3 linked regions of the Cricetulus griseus genome follow. The protein of the gene in region 1 interacts with the protein of each later gene in a pairwise test. Links are inferred from orthologs where the notes say so. Each region holds a gene or a part of one and is shown in the gene's direction. Other genes may lie near its edges.

Evidence for each region. The genes of interacting proteins can lie anywhere in the genome.
Region 2: the proteins of Bnipl (region 1) and Gfer interact in a two-hybrid assay, tested with the Homo sapiens proteins (2 studies listed by BioGRID and IntAct). The link is inferred for Cricetulus griseus from reciprocal best matches to the Homo sapiens genes BNIPL and GFER.
Region 3: the proteins of Bnipl (region 1) and Mif interact in a two-hybrid assay, tested with the Homo sapiens proteins (2 studies listed by BioGRID and IntAct). The link is inferred for Cricetulus griseus from reciprocal best matches to the Homo sapiens genes BNIPL and MIF.

The regions. Positions count from the first base shown.
Region 1 is NW_023276806.1:61,249,523-61,253,532, forward strand, and holds the start of Bnipl (bcl-2/adenovirus E1B 19 kDa-interacting protein 2-like protein), read left to right. Parts: upstream 1-1,209; 5' UTR 1,210-2,588; coding exon of another isoform or gene 2,589-2,632; 5' UTR 2,633-3,068; coding exon 3,069-3,418; intron 3,419-3,600; coding exon 3,601-3,665; intron 3,666-4,010. UniProt on the Homo sapiens protein: May be a bridge molecule between BCL2 and ARHGAP1/CDC42 in promoting cell death.
Region 2 is NC_048600.1:44,284,483-44,288,789, reverse strand, and holds Gfer (FAD-linked sulfhydryl oxidase ALR), read left to right. Parts: upstream 1-1,494; 5' UTR 1,495-1,606; coding exon 1,607-1,843; intron 1,844-2,174; coding exon 2,175-2,371; intron 2,372-3,276; coding exon 3,277-3,439; 3' UTR 3,440-3,984; downstream 3,985-4,307. Other genes in the region: Noxo1 (NADPH oxidase organizer 1), read right to left, coding at 1,258-1,352.
Region 3 is NW_023276806.1:262,751,082-262,753,819, forward strand, and holds Mif (macrophage migration inhibitory factor), read left to right. Parts: upstream 1-1,347; 5' UTR 1,348-1,450; coding exon 1,451-1,558; intron 1,559-1,748; coding exon 1,749-1,921; intron 1,922-2,036; coding exon 2,037-2,103; 3' UTR 2,104-2,225; downstream 2,226-2,738.

The DNA.
Region 1 (4,010 bases):
AAACTTTATTCCTGTTTGAGGTCTTGTCTCTTTTTGACAGTATAGTCGGGCCTTCCCTCTGATAATGGCTGCACCTCCTACAGACACCTCTCCCTTTCTCCCGTTCCTGCTTAGTTGACTCAGCTATAAGCTGTCTCTGTTCATCCTTCATCTCTCCTTGATTCCTGTTCCCAGAGCTTTCCTTAAAATATTCAGTTGTGGTCTCAGGTTGGTTTTTTGTTGCTTTTTTCAGACAGGGTTTCTCTGTGTATCCCTGGCTGTCCTTGAACTAGCTTTGTAGACCAGGCTGGCATCAAACTCAGGGATCTACCTGCCTTGGGCCTTCCCAGTGCTGAGATTAAAAGCATGCACCACCACTGTCTTCTTTTTTTTGAGACAGTCTCCCAGACTGCCCTTGCTTGTCAAGTAGCTGAAGCTAGCCTCTAATGTTCCTGCAGAAGCCTCTCCCATGTTGGAATTGCAGATGTGAGATGCCTTACTTGTCTCCTCTGTTTCCCTTATGCTGGAAAAGTAGGACCAACATGAATTTAAAACCAAAATAGTTCCCAGCTTTGCCTGTATGTGTGTATGGTTCTGGTGATTGAACTAGGGCCTCATGCTACTGGGCAGGTGTTCTACCACTGATCTTTTTTGTTTGTTTGTTTGTTTGTTTTTGTTTTTTTTTTTGTTTTTTTTTTGGTTTTTCGAGACAGGGGTTTCTCTGTGGCTTTGGAGGCTGTCCTGGAACTAGCTCTTGTAGACCAAGCTGGTCTCAAATTCACAAAGATCCGCCTGCCTCTGCCTCCCAGCGCCTGGCCACCACTGACCATTTTTAACTTTTTATTTTGAGACAGAGTCTCAGTAAGTTACCCAGACTGGCTTTGAACTTGTAGTCCTGCTTCAGCCTCTTGAGTAGCTGAAATTCCATGCCCTCACCAGGATCAGCTTTTTAAAGCTAGTTATTGGATTGCAAGATGATGTGGACAAAGGCACCTAGTACCAAGATGACCAACTGAAGTTGATCACATGGTGGGATGAGAGTACTGATTCTCACAAGATATCATACACACACACTCAAAAATAAACTATAATTTAAAAAAGTACATTTTGGCTGGGCAGTAGTGGCGCATGCCTTGAATCTCAGCACTTGGGTGGCAGAGGCAGGTAGATCTCTGTGAGTACAAGGCCAGCCTGGTCTACAGCATGAGTTCCAGGACAGCCAGAACTACACACAGAGGAAACCCTGTTTTTTTTGGGGGGGGAGGGATACATTTTAAAGGCTGGAGAGATGGCTTGGTGATTAAGAGCACTGGCTGCTCTTCTAGAGGACCCAGGTGTATTTCCAGAACCTACAGGGCTCACAACTATCTGTAACTCTAGTCCCAAGAAATCTAACCCTTTTCTATCTTCCAAGAGCACCAGGTACACACTTGGTGCATAGACATATATGCAGGCAATACCCTCATACACATAGAATTTAAAAACAAAACATTTTTTAAGCTTCCAAAAGCTTCCAAACTGCTGAGAGATGGCTCAGCAGTTACAAGTGCTTTCTTGTCAAACTGGGCAGTGGTAGCACACTCCTTTAATCCCAGCACTCAGAAGACAGAGGCAGGTGGATCTCTGTGAGTTTGAGGCCAGTCTGGTTTACAGAGTGAGTTCCAGGACAGCCAGGGCTACACAGAGAAACCCTGTTGAAAGTGCTTCTCAATCCTGAAGCCTAGAGTTCAGATCGCAGCACCATGGGCAAGTCTACAAAGGCCTGTACCCCCAGCTTCAAGAGAGACACAAGAAAATTGCTGTTGGATTCCAGCCTAACCAACAATGCAAAAGCTGGGATCCAGGTTTAGAGAGAGACATTGTCTCAAAGAAACAGGCAGTGATAGAGGAGGCTGCCCTCCCCTGCACATTCCAGGGTGCACACACCCACTCATAGACTCACAAACACACTAAGAGGGAAAGATCACCCACACATTCCACATCAAACTGGTCTAAAATGTAAGACACTGAAAAATAAAGGGGGCTGCCTTAATGGACAGGCACTTACTTGAGCAAGAAGACCCAAGTTTGGATCCCCAGAACACACAAAGGCTGAGCAGGTGGGGCATCCACCTATAACCCTAGCTCTCAGGGAGTTAAGCTGGCTAGCTAAAACTAGATCAGTGAGCTCTGGGTTCAATGGAGATACCCTGCCTCAGATTTTCTGAGGAAGATATCCAGTGTTAGCTTCAGGCTTCCCTAGGAATGCGAGCGCGCGCGCGCACACACACACACATAAAATTATCTTGTAACCTTCCCCCCTTAAAAGGGCAAAACAAAGGGCTTCCAGGTTATAAAGAATCTGAACTGGAGAACAAATCGTCACCCTAGAAGTCTCACTCTCACACCCGAAAGCCCGCCCCCACACAAGAGGCTGGGCTTTTGGGCAAACCTGCTCCTTGGGAGGGGAGGTAGCAAAACCTGTTTGAAGATGAGGTTACCTCCCTTCCACACCTCCTGCTCCTTAGAGGCAAGAACAACAGCTGAGAAAGAAAAGGAGTGGTGGGGGCCAGGACCACAGCCTCCTACCCTTCGTAAAGTGTTCACAGAACACAGGACGACTGGTGAGGATGGGAACTATACAAGAAACAGGAAAAAAGTCATTAGAAGTAGGGTAAGTAATGGCTTGGCCTGATGAGGAGGAGAGAGGGCGTTTCCTACCACCCAAGCCTTCCCTGGGTTCCTCGAGGAAGAGCATGGCAAGAAGGAATTCAGGGACAGGGTGGTTTGGGGCAGGAAAGTAATATAGTATGGAGCAATTCCATGGTTTAAAGTTCCTATCTTATATCTGACAGACCACCACTCTCTCTCTCTCTCTCTCTCTCTCTCTCTCTCATCTAAGCACCACCCTCTAGAATGGCCATTAGGAAACCTGGCTCAGAAGGGAGTTTCTACCCCTGTTCTGCTTCCCAGTGAATCTCCTTTCTCCCCTGTCCTTGCCTGCTGTGCCATATTTTCCCAGTGCAGTAGAAAGGCAGGGCAGACTGGGTGCCATCTGCTGCTGCTTTGCAAAAGGTTAACTGGGCAGGTCTGGGTTCCAGCCAGCTGTGATGTGGGATGCCTTCTACACTACCATAGAGGCAAAGCGGTTACGGGATGGCCCTTCCCCTTTGCTAAGCTCAGCAGCAGGTGAGCTGTTTCAGTCAAGTGGAAAAGGTAGAGAAGGTAGAAAATCTGTAGACATAGACGAATGCCCTCTGCGACAAGTTCTTCACGACAGTGTCTGCCACCTGCTGTCTGGCTCCCTTAGGATACTGTCCAGGTTGTCTCATGATCATTTCTCCTGGGGGGGGGCTGATGTCAGGGCTGGGGAGAAGGCAGGAGTCACAGAGCCAGGAGCAGCCCTGAGACTTGAAGAGCTGGAACTGAGGGAGGAATGGCAAGATGAAGAGTTCCCCAGGTAAGGCTGAGAGCCCTTTGCCCTCCCTGTGGTACACGTGGTACACAGATAAATATACAGGCAAAACACGTCCACACACACACACAATCTTTACATGAGGGGGAAGAGAGAAAACAATTCTGGTGGACACCTGGCCTGGCTGGGTGTTGTGTGTAAGTCCCAGTTCAATCCCTACCCTCTAGATTGCTTCCTGAGGAGGCTGGCCCGGCTGGAGATCCCGAAGACCCTCAGACAGACTCCCAGGCAGGTAGGAAAGGAAAGTCTGCCTCTGGGGCTGGTTTTAAGGCCAGAGTCTTCACTGTAGCTTCTGTCCTTTGCAGTCCATTCTCCCTTTCCACTTACCCTGTCACTTCCCTGCCTCAAAATTCTCAGGTATGATCTCCTTAAAACTTTATTTTAGGTGTTTTGTTACTGTTGTTGCTTGGGGTTTTTTGTTTGTTTGCTTGCTTGCTTGCTTGCTTGCAACAGTGTCTTCCTATGTAGCCCTGGCTAGCCTAGAACTTATTTGGAGACTAGACTGACTGAACTCACAGAGATCCACCTGTCTCTGCCTCCTGAGCACTGGGATTAAAGGTGTGCACTACCACGCCTG
Region 2 (4,307 bases), on another chromosome or scaffold:
TCAGTAACTCCAGTTCCAGGGGATCTGACATCACACAGACATACATGCAGGTAAAACACCAGTGCACATAAGAATAAATAAAAAGCTGGGCAGTGGTGATCACACTTTTGTTTTTTGAGACAGGGTCTCTGGGTAGCTCTGACTGTCCTGGAACTCACACTGTAGACCAGGCTGGTCTTGAACTCACGGAGATCTGCTTCTGCACACCTTTAATCCCAGCCCTCGGGAGGGAAGCAGAGGCAGGAGAATCTATTGAGTTTGAGATCAGCCTGGCCTATAGAGCGAATTCCAGAACAGCCAAGGCTACACAGAGAAACTCTGTCAAAAATATCACTCTAACAAAAATAGAAGAAATCTTGCAAAGTAGAAATGGGATCAGGCCAAGACAGTTTTGTCCCAAATTGCCCAACGTCTCCCACTGCTTTTAGAACAAATCCCAATTTCTAGCATGGTTGGTGGGCCATTGCCCAGCTCTGGATCCTGGCCTCCTACCTTCCCAGAGTCCTGCCCCCAGTGGCCTTTGGTGCTTCTGCAAAATGCGATAGCCTGAGCTGATTTCTCATTTTATGGGGCCTGTGCTTAAGGGTCTCCAATTTAGGAGCGCTATATTCCCACACCCTATACCCAGCTTTCATCAGTTTGTAAATAAAATTTATTTCTGTGACTGGGTTTTCCCCATCTTCACTACTGGTCAAAGGCTAAAGAGGCTAGGGAAGGAAGCTTGTTCCTTGTTCTGTTCAGTGCCGGAAACAGCGCTTGGAGCAGAGTACCACTGTACAAATATTTGCAGAATGAATAAATGAACACATGGAAGAGGGAAAAGAATTCTTCCTGTGATGGCCCAGGCTTCTAAGTCACGTACTAGAAGAGGTGGCAGCTACGTAACAGAATTCCAAGTTAGTCCAAGTTACATGACTTTGTCTCAAAAAAAAAAAAAAGGAATTCTTGAGGCTGAAATAGGCATAATAACCTCCCCCCGCCAATGTTATAGGACGCGTCCCAGGCCTCTCCCAAAGTTGCGGGGCCCAGTAACTAGGGCAAAAGTCGACCCAGGCCATTGGCGCTGCCTGCTCTGTGAGGCCACGCCCCGCCGCGCGTTGCCAAGCACCCAGAAGCGTGTAGGTGGGCGCGTTGTACGCCAGAAAGGCCCCAACCTTGGCCGCTAGCGGGTAAAGGTCTGAACCGAGCGATGGGGGCGACGAGAGAAGCATCTCAGACCTCGTCTCAGCCCGACCTCCCAGCGGGGCCGCAGCGCACCTTCCACAACTCACTACACTGCGGGAGGAAACCCGAGCTCCCCCATGCACCACGCACGCCCGGCCCGCGGCGGACAACCAGAGCCCGAGCCGCATCCCCCTATGCCGCCTCGGCCCGTGCCTCCCGCTCCGGCTCCTCCGGCGCCGGGGCCTCCGACTCCGCCGAGACCCGGGCCGCCGCCTCGACCCCCAGCCCCGCCCCGCCGCCAGGCTCCGCCTCCTTCCCCAGCGTGAGCTCGGCCCCCGGCCGCCTTTCCCGCTCCAGCCGCCGCGCGCTGGCAGTGGCGTGCGCGCTCGCCCTGCCGGCCTTCTGGAGGCCCTCTTGGCCCCGCCGTCTGTACGCCGGCAAGATGGCGGCGCCCAGCGAGCCCGAGGGCGCCTCTCGCAGCAGTCTCTTTTCCTTCCTGCCCGGCGGCGCGCGCTCTGAGATGACAGACGACTTGGTGACTGACGCGCGGGGCCGCCGCACCGGGCATAGGGACGCCGCGGCCTCTGCCTCAGCCCCGGGGCCGCAAGGTTTGCAGCACGGGAAGCCGCCGTGCCGAGCCTGCGTGGACTTCAAGTCGTGGATGCGGACCCAGCAGAAGGTGCAGATACCCCGCCTGACCGCCCAGTCCCGGTCCCCCGCCCCACACCGGGTTTCCTCAGGGTTGGCTATGCCTAAACATGTCCACCCCCTCACCCACACACACCCCTAGGGTCGGACTTTGAGCCTTCAGCCACTGGCTGGCCGATCAGTTTACTAGGCTGCCAACTGTAAAGGGGAGCATTCTTGTTTCCTTTATTCTTTTGGTGATACTGGGAATCCGAACCCAAGGCCTCTGGCGTGCAACACAAGCAATCTGCCACTGGGTTGGAATTTTGTGGGCTTCTGGTTGGGGAAGAATGAACTGACCCGTAGTCGGCCTACTTCTGCAGCGGGACATCAAGTTTAGGGAGGACTGTCCGCAGGATCGGGAGGAATTGGGTCGCCACACCTGGGCTTTTCTCCACACGTTGGCCGCCTATTACCCGGACATGCCCACCCCAGAACAACAGCGAGATATGGCCCAGTTCATACATATATTTTCCAAGTTTTACCCCTGCAAGGAGTGTGCGGAAGACATAAGGAAGAGGTAAGTGTGCCTTACCTCTGCCAGTAAGGCCCTGAAAGGGGCCTGGCGGATGCCATAGAGAGGGGACTAGAAAAATAGATGCAGAGGTGACAGGTTGCTAGAAGAGGGACCACTCAAACGAATGTTGGGTCATGGGAGCCCTCTCCTTCCTCCTCAGAGCCTAGGTCTGTGAATTGTTAGCCTTAGAATTTTTAGGAAGATTAGCTAAGATTCCATGTTGCTTAACTTCTCTAATCTCTCGGTGTGGTTACCGATTTTAAAAATGGGAATGAAAGTCTGGCGTTAGTGGCCCATGCCTTTAATCCCAGCACTCTGGAGGCAGAGACAGGTGGATCTCTGTGAGTTCGAGGCCAGCCTGGTCTAGCCAACACTCACACACACACACACACACACACACACACACAAAAAAAAAAAAAAAAAAAAAAAACTTGGTTCACTCATTGGCTTAACTTAATCTGTTCTTTATAGGTATTTCTAGGTTGGACCTATTAGGCACTTGCACTTGCTATTTGAAGCCTGGGTAGTTAGGAATGAAGGGTATCTCTTGCTGAACTAGGCCTCTGGTGCCAAGAAACACTGTGCCAGGCCCCACCTGTCTATACTCTGCCTGGGGCTAGAGACCATGGGGTGAGGCTCCCTGATTGTTACAAGGTTGTAAAGTCGCCTGCTTTACTATAATCTTAATTCTGGGCTCTTGCCAAGTCAAGTGAGCGAGTGAGCAGCCCTGGGAGTTGCACAAGTCCAGGAAACTCCAGAGTCAACCCTGCTCTTGGCTTTCACATCCCCCTAGAGCATAGAGGCATCCCCAAGTTTAATTCAAAGCAGTGCCCCAGCTCTCTGTCCTGGGCCCTAGCAAGGACAAAGGAGTCAACATCTTATGTTCTTCCTGTGCTTCTGTCACAAAGGATAGGCAGGAACCAGCCAGACACAAGCACTCGAGTCTCCTTCAGCCAGTGGCTGTGCCGCCTGCACAATGAGGTGAATCGGAAGCTGGGCAAGCCTGATTTTGACTGTTCAAAGGTAGATGAGCGATGGCGTGACGGCTGGAAGGACGGCTCCTGTGACTAGAAGATTGTGAGCAGAGCATGTGGGACATCTAGCCAGGGTCCATGGGCAACCTGGCTGGAGGGACAGCCCGCTGATTAAAGTGCATCTGAGCCAAAGCTTGTTCCCGTGTTTGGAGAGGGGTCCCTAGGACACTGCCAATGGGAACCCTACCCACAGGGCTAAGAAGGGGAGGTGCCCAGGGACTAGAGATGAGAGAGGCTACCCTATACCCTTTATAATGCAGCCTCTTGCCCATTATACACTTGGGACATAGCTGCCCCGTAGGAAGATGGGGTGGACCATTGGCTTCCTACTGCATAACCAGGGGTGCCTACAGAACTGGCAGCTCTGTGCCATTTCAGAATTGAAGCATGGTACTGAGTTGTCTATTCTGTACTCTGTCCCCAGCTCTAGTAGGACTTTTTACTTAGGGTGTACCCACCATACTGCCCACTGCCTGTGGCACATGGTCTACAGCTATGACAACATGCCTGTCAGCAGATCCAGGATCAGATGATCCTGAACTTCTGAGAGTTTGAGACCAAAATAAAATGAAGTGACTTAGGGCCTGGTTTCTGTGTGCTTTGTACTGGGAATTACAGTGATGGACAGGCCTGCTTTTGCTTGTCTGTGATTAGTTGGGTCCTCTTGTCTGAAGTTCTGGCAGAAGTCACTATGGAGCAGCTGAGACAAGCTCTTCATGGTGAGAAAGAAGCTGAAGATGACAAGGGGGCTTCTGGATTCTGAGTGTACACCTTCTAGTTGCTGGGCTCTTCTGAATCTGCTCAGCTCCATCTGTCCTTGGGCTAGGCTCCCAACCAGAGCATCCCAGCAGCAGTGGGAGCCCCAGTTCTCAGCATAAAGATATCATTCTTTCCTGTGTTGGCCC
Region 3 (2,738 bases), about 200 Mb from region 1:
TATGAAGAATGCATAGCTAAGCAATCCTAGTCAGGGCGCAGTCCTCCTAGCTGCATTGTCTCAGCTCCAGTCCCTTCTGCAGGGTGGTCTGACAAGCTTCCAGAGCTGTGTGAAATCTCTTCCAGGGAGACAAGTTCCTCCTTTGGCTGCACCTGCCTTCAGTCTTTCTTTTCCCCCAGCCTGAGACTCCTGAGGAAATTCCATTTCCTTGGGAACCATTGTTTCAATAGTCTGGTAGCCAAACGGAGGGACACAAGTGTCTCTTTAGAATATCTTCATTTCTGCCAGAACCGTTATAGAACCTCATATAAACCTTGAAGTCACAAGACAAAACTGTCATTGCCCACACAGCATCCTTTTGACTGGTTGGATTTTTTTTTTTTTTTTTTTTTTTTTTTTTTTTTTAAAGGCAAGCTAGGAAAACACATGGAGACCCAAGATCCCAGTGACATTTCCTGGGCACCTGCCAGATGTCTGGCTTGTTCATGAGAAAGCTATACAAAGTCTACCAAGGGCTTTAATGAGGGTAATTGCTGGGACCTAATTTGAGCAGCACTTCCCTGAGGGCTGACAGTTGCCCAGTTTAGGATTATACCTTAAGGAGGAGCAGAACTGGTACCTTTGGCTCAAAACCAGTTCCTTGTGCCTCCCCTGGAGATCTCCAAGCATCCCCACTTGGTTGGAACAGCAAGGATGCAGGCAAGTAACTGGACGGTGACTCCTTTATGCCTCCTTCCCCATCTACAAGGAAGGACCTACATGAGCAGGATCATAGGTCGTGTGGACACACGTCCTGGGAGGCCCAGGACACACAAAGTCTTAGTTGAAAGTGGCTGTGTTGAAGGTGGCACTGAGCCAGTGGACCGACGTCTGACTGTTGGTACAAAACAGTAAGGAATGGGGCTCGGCCAATTTCACTAGCTTAGAGGAAGTTCCTAAGGCAAGTATTGTTCTTTCTCCAAGCACAAACCATCACGCTTTTGGTTCATTATTTGGAGTTAAATAGAGTCGGTCGGTTCTGGCCCATTGGCAGGCCAGATAAGGCCAACATGACTACCTACAGCACCGATCAAGGGCTGAAGTTTCCTCAGAAACAGAAATTTCTCAGACCTGAACCTGCTCCCGGTGTACCGTTAATCTGCAGCGTCTACCTGAAATGCCTCCACAAACTTAATCCTAGAGTCAAGTCCTTGCTACCTAATTTACTAAATGATACATTCTTCGTTTCTATCCGAGAAAACAAAGAGCAGAAGCACACCAAGCGTAGCAGAAGCACAGTCACGTCCCCGCTTTAGGACGTACCCTGACGCAGGCGGAGGCGGGACGAGGGGAGGAGCCGCAGCCGGTTTGGGGCGGTGCTGAACTAGGTCACGTAGCTCAGGTCCCTGGCTTGGGCCACATCCCGCGTCGCACTGTCCTCTACTCCCCGCTTGCAGTCCCCTCCGCCACCATGCCGATGTTCACCGTGAACACCAACGTTCCCCGCGCCTCCGTGCCAGAGGGGCTTCTCTCCGAGCTCACCCAGCAGCTGGCGCAGGCCACCGGCAAGCCGGCCCAGGTTTGCAGGGAGGGTACAGGAAGAGAGAGAGTGGGGAGGGAGGGCCCGTGCGCCCGGCCGCCGGGCAGAGGAAGAATGGGGATGGGAACCGCGGCGGGCGGCTGGAGGGCTGGAGGCTGGAGCTCCCCGGAGCCCTGTGGCCCCGTGGTCTTTCAGGCGGGCTAACCGCGCGTCCACCCCTCCCCCGCAGTACATCGCAGTGCACGTGGTCCCGGACCAGCTCATGACTTTTAGCGGCTCTAGCGACCCCTGCGCCCTGTGCAGCCTGCATAGTATCGGCAAGATCGGCGGCGCGCAGAACCGCACCTACAGCAAGCTGCTGTGCGGCCTGCTGGCTGATCGCCTGCACATCAGCCCGGACCGGTGCGTGGGGGTGGGGTGGGGTGAGGGGCGCTGGGAGGTGGGCGCGGGGGTCAGAGGGCGCCGCCACGCTCGCCGAGACCGCGTGTTAGGCTGAGCTAGGCTTTCATTCTCGCAGGATCTACATCAATTATTACGACATGAGCGCGGCCAACGTGGGCTGGAACGGCTCCACCTTCGCTTGAGTGCCGGCCTAACTTACCTGCGCCGCCGTTTCTTGGAGCCTTGCTGCACGCAGCGTTCTGTTTTCGTCCACCCCTGGCGACGCCCACCTTCCGATCGGGAGAAATAAATGGTTTAGAGACCACGGTTGCCTCAGTTTCTGCTTCCTTGGCTTGCGGAGGAATTGGTGCAGGGCGGGGACATTGAATGGAAGCCCAGGCTGCGATGGTGGGTCGGAGTTGGCCAGTTTGGCTGTCTCAAAACCAGTGGTCTAGATGTCCTTTCGTCCAGGCTTTCCTATAGTGGCCTTACGTCAAAAAGAGGTTCACTGGGGCCTCAGACCAACAGTCATACAGAACTTCCCAAGCAGTTGTTGCATCCTGAAATAGGTTCTCTGCTCTGGGCGGGAATCCCGAACTGTGTTCTTAATCACAGTGGCAAATGGGACGGCAATGTGCTTTCATGGGAGAGTGAGTTGCTCAGGCAGGAGAAGGGTGGGGATTAAATTGATAGACTCTTTGCCTGTGTTCTTCTCAGGCAAACAGCCCCCGACTCCCCAGTAGTTCCTAGAGAATGCATGAGAATGGAGTACTTTGTCTGTTTTCATGTTTGTTAGGGTAGAAAGGTCCAATGTGATTTACATCTCTTGGGGTACACT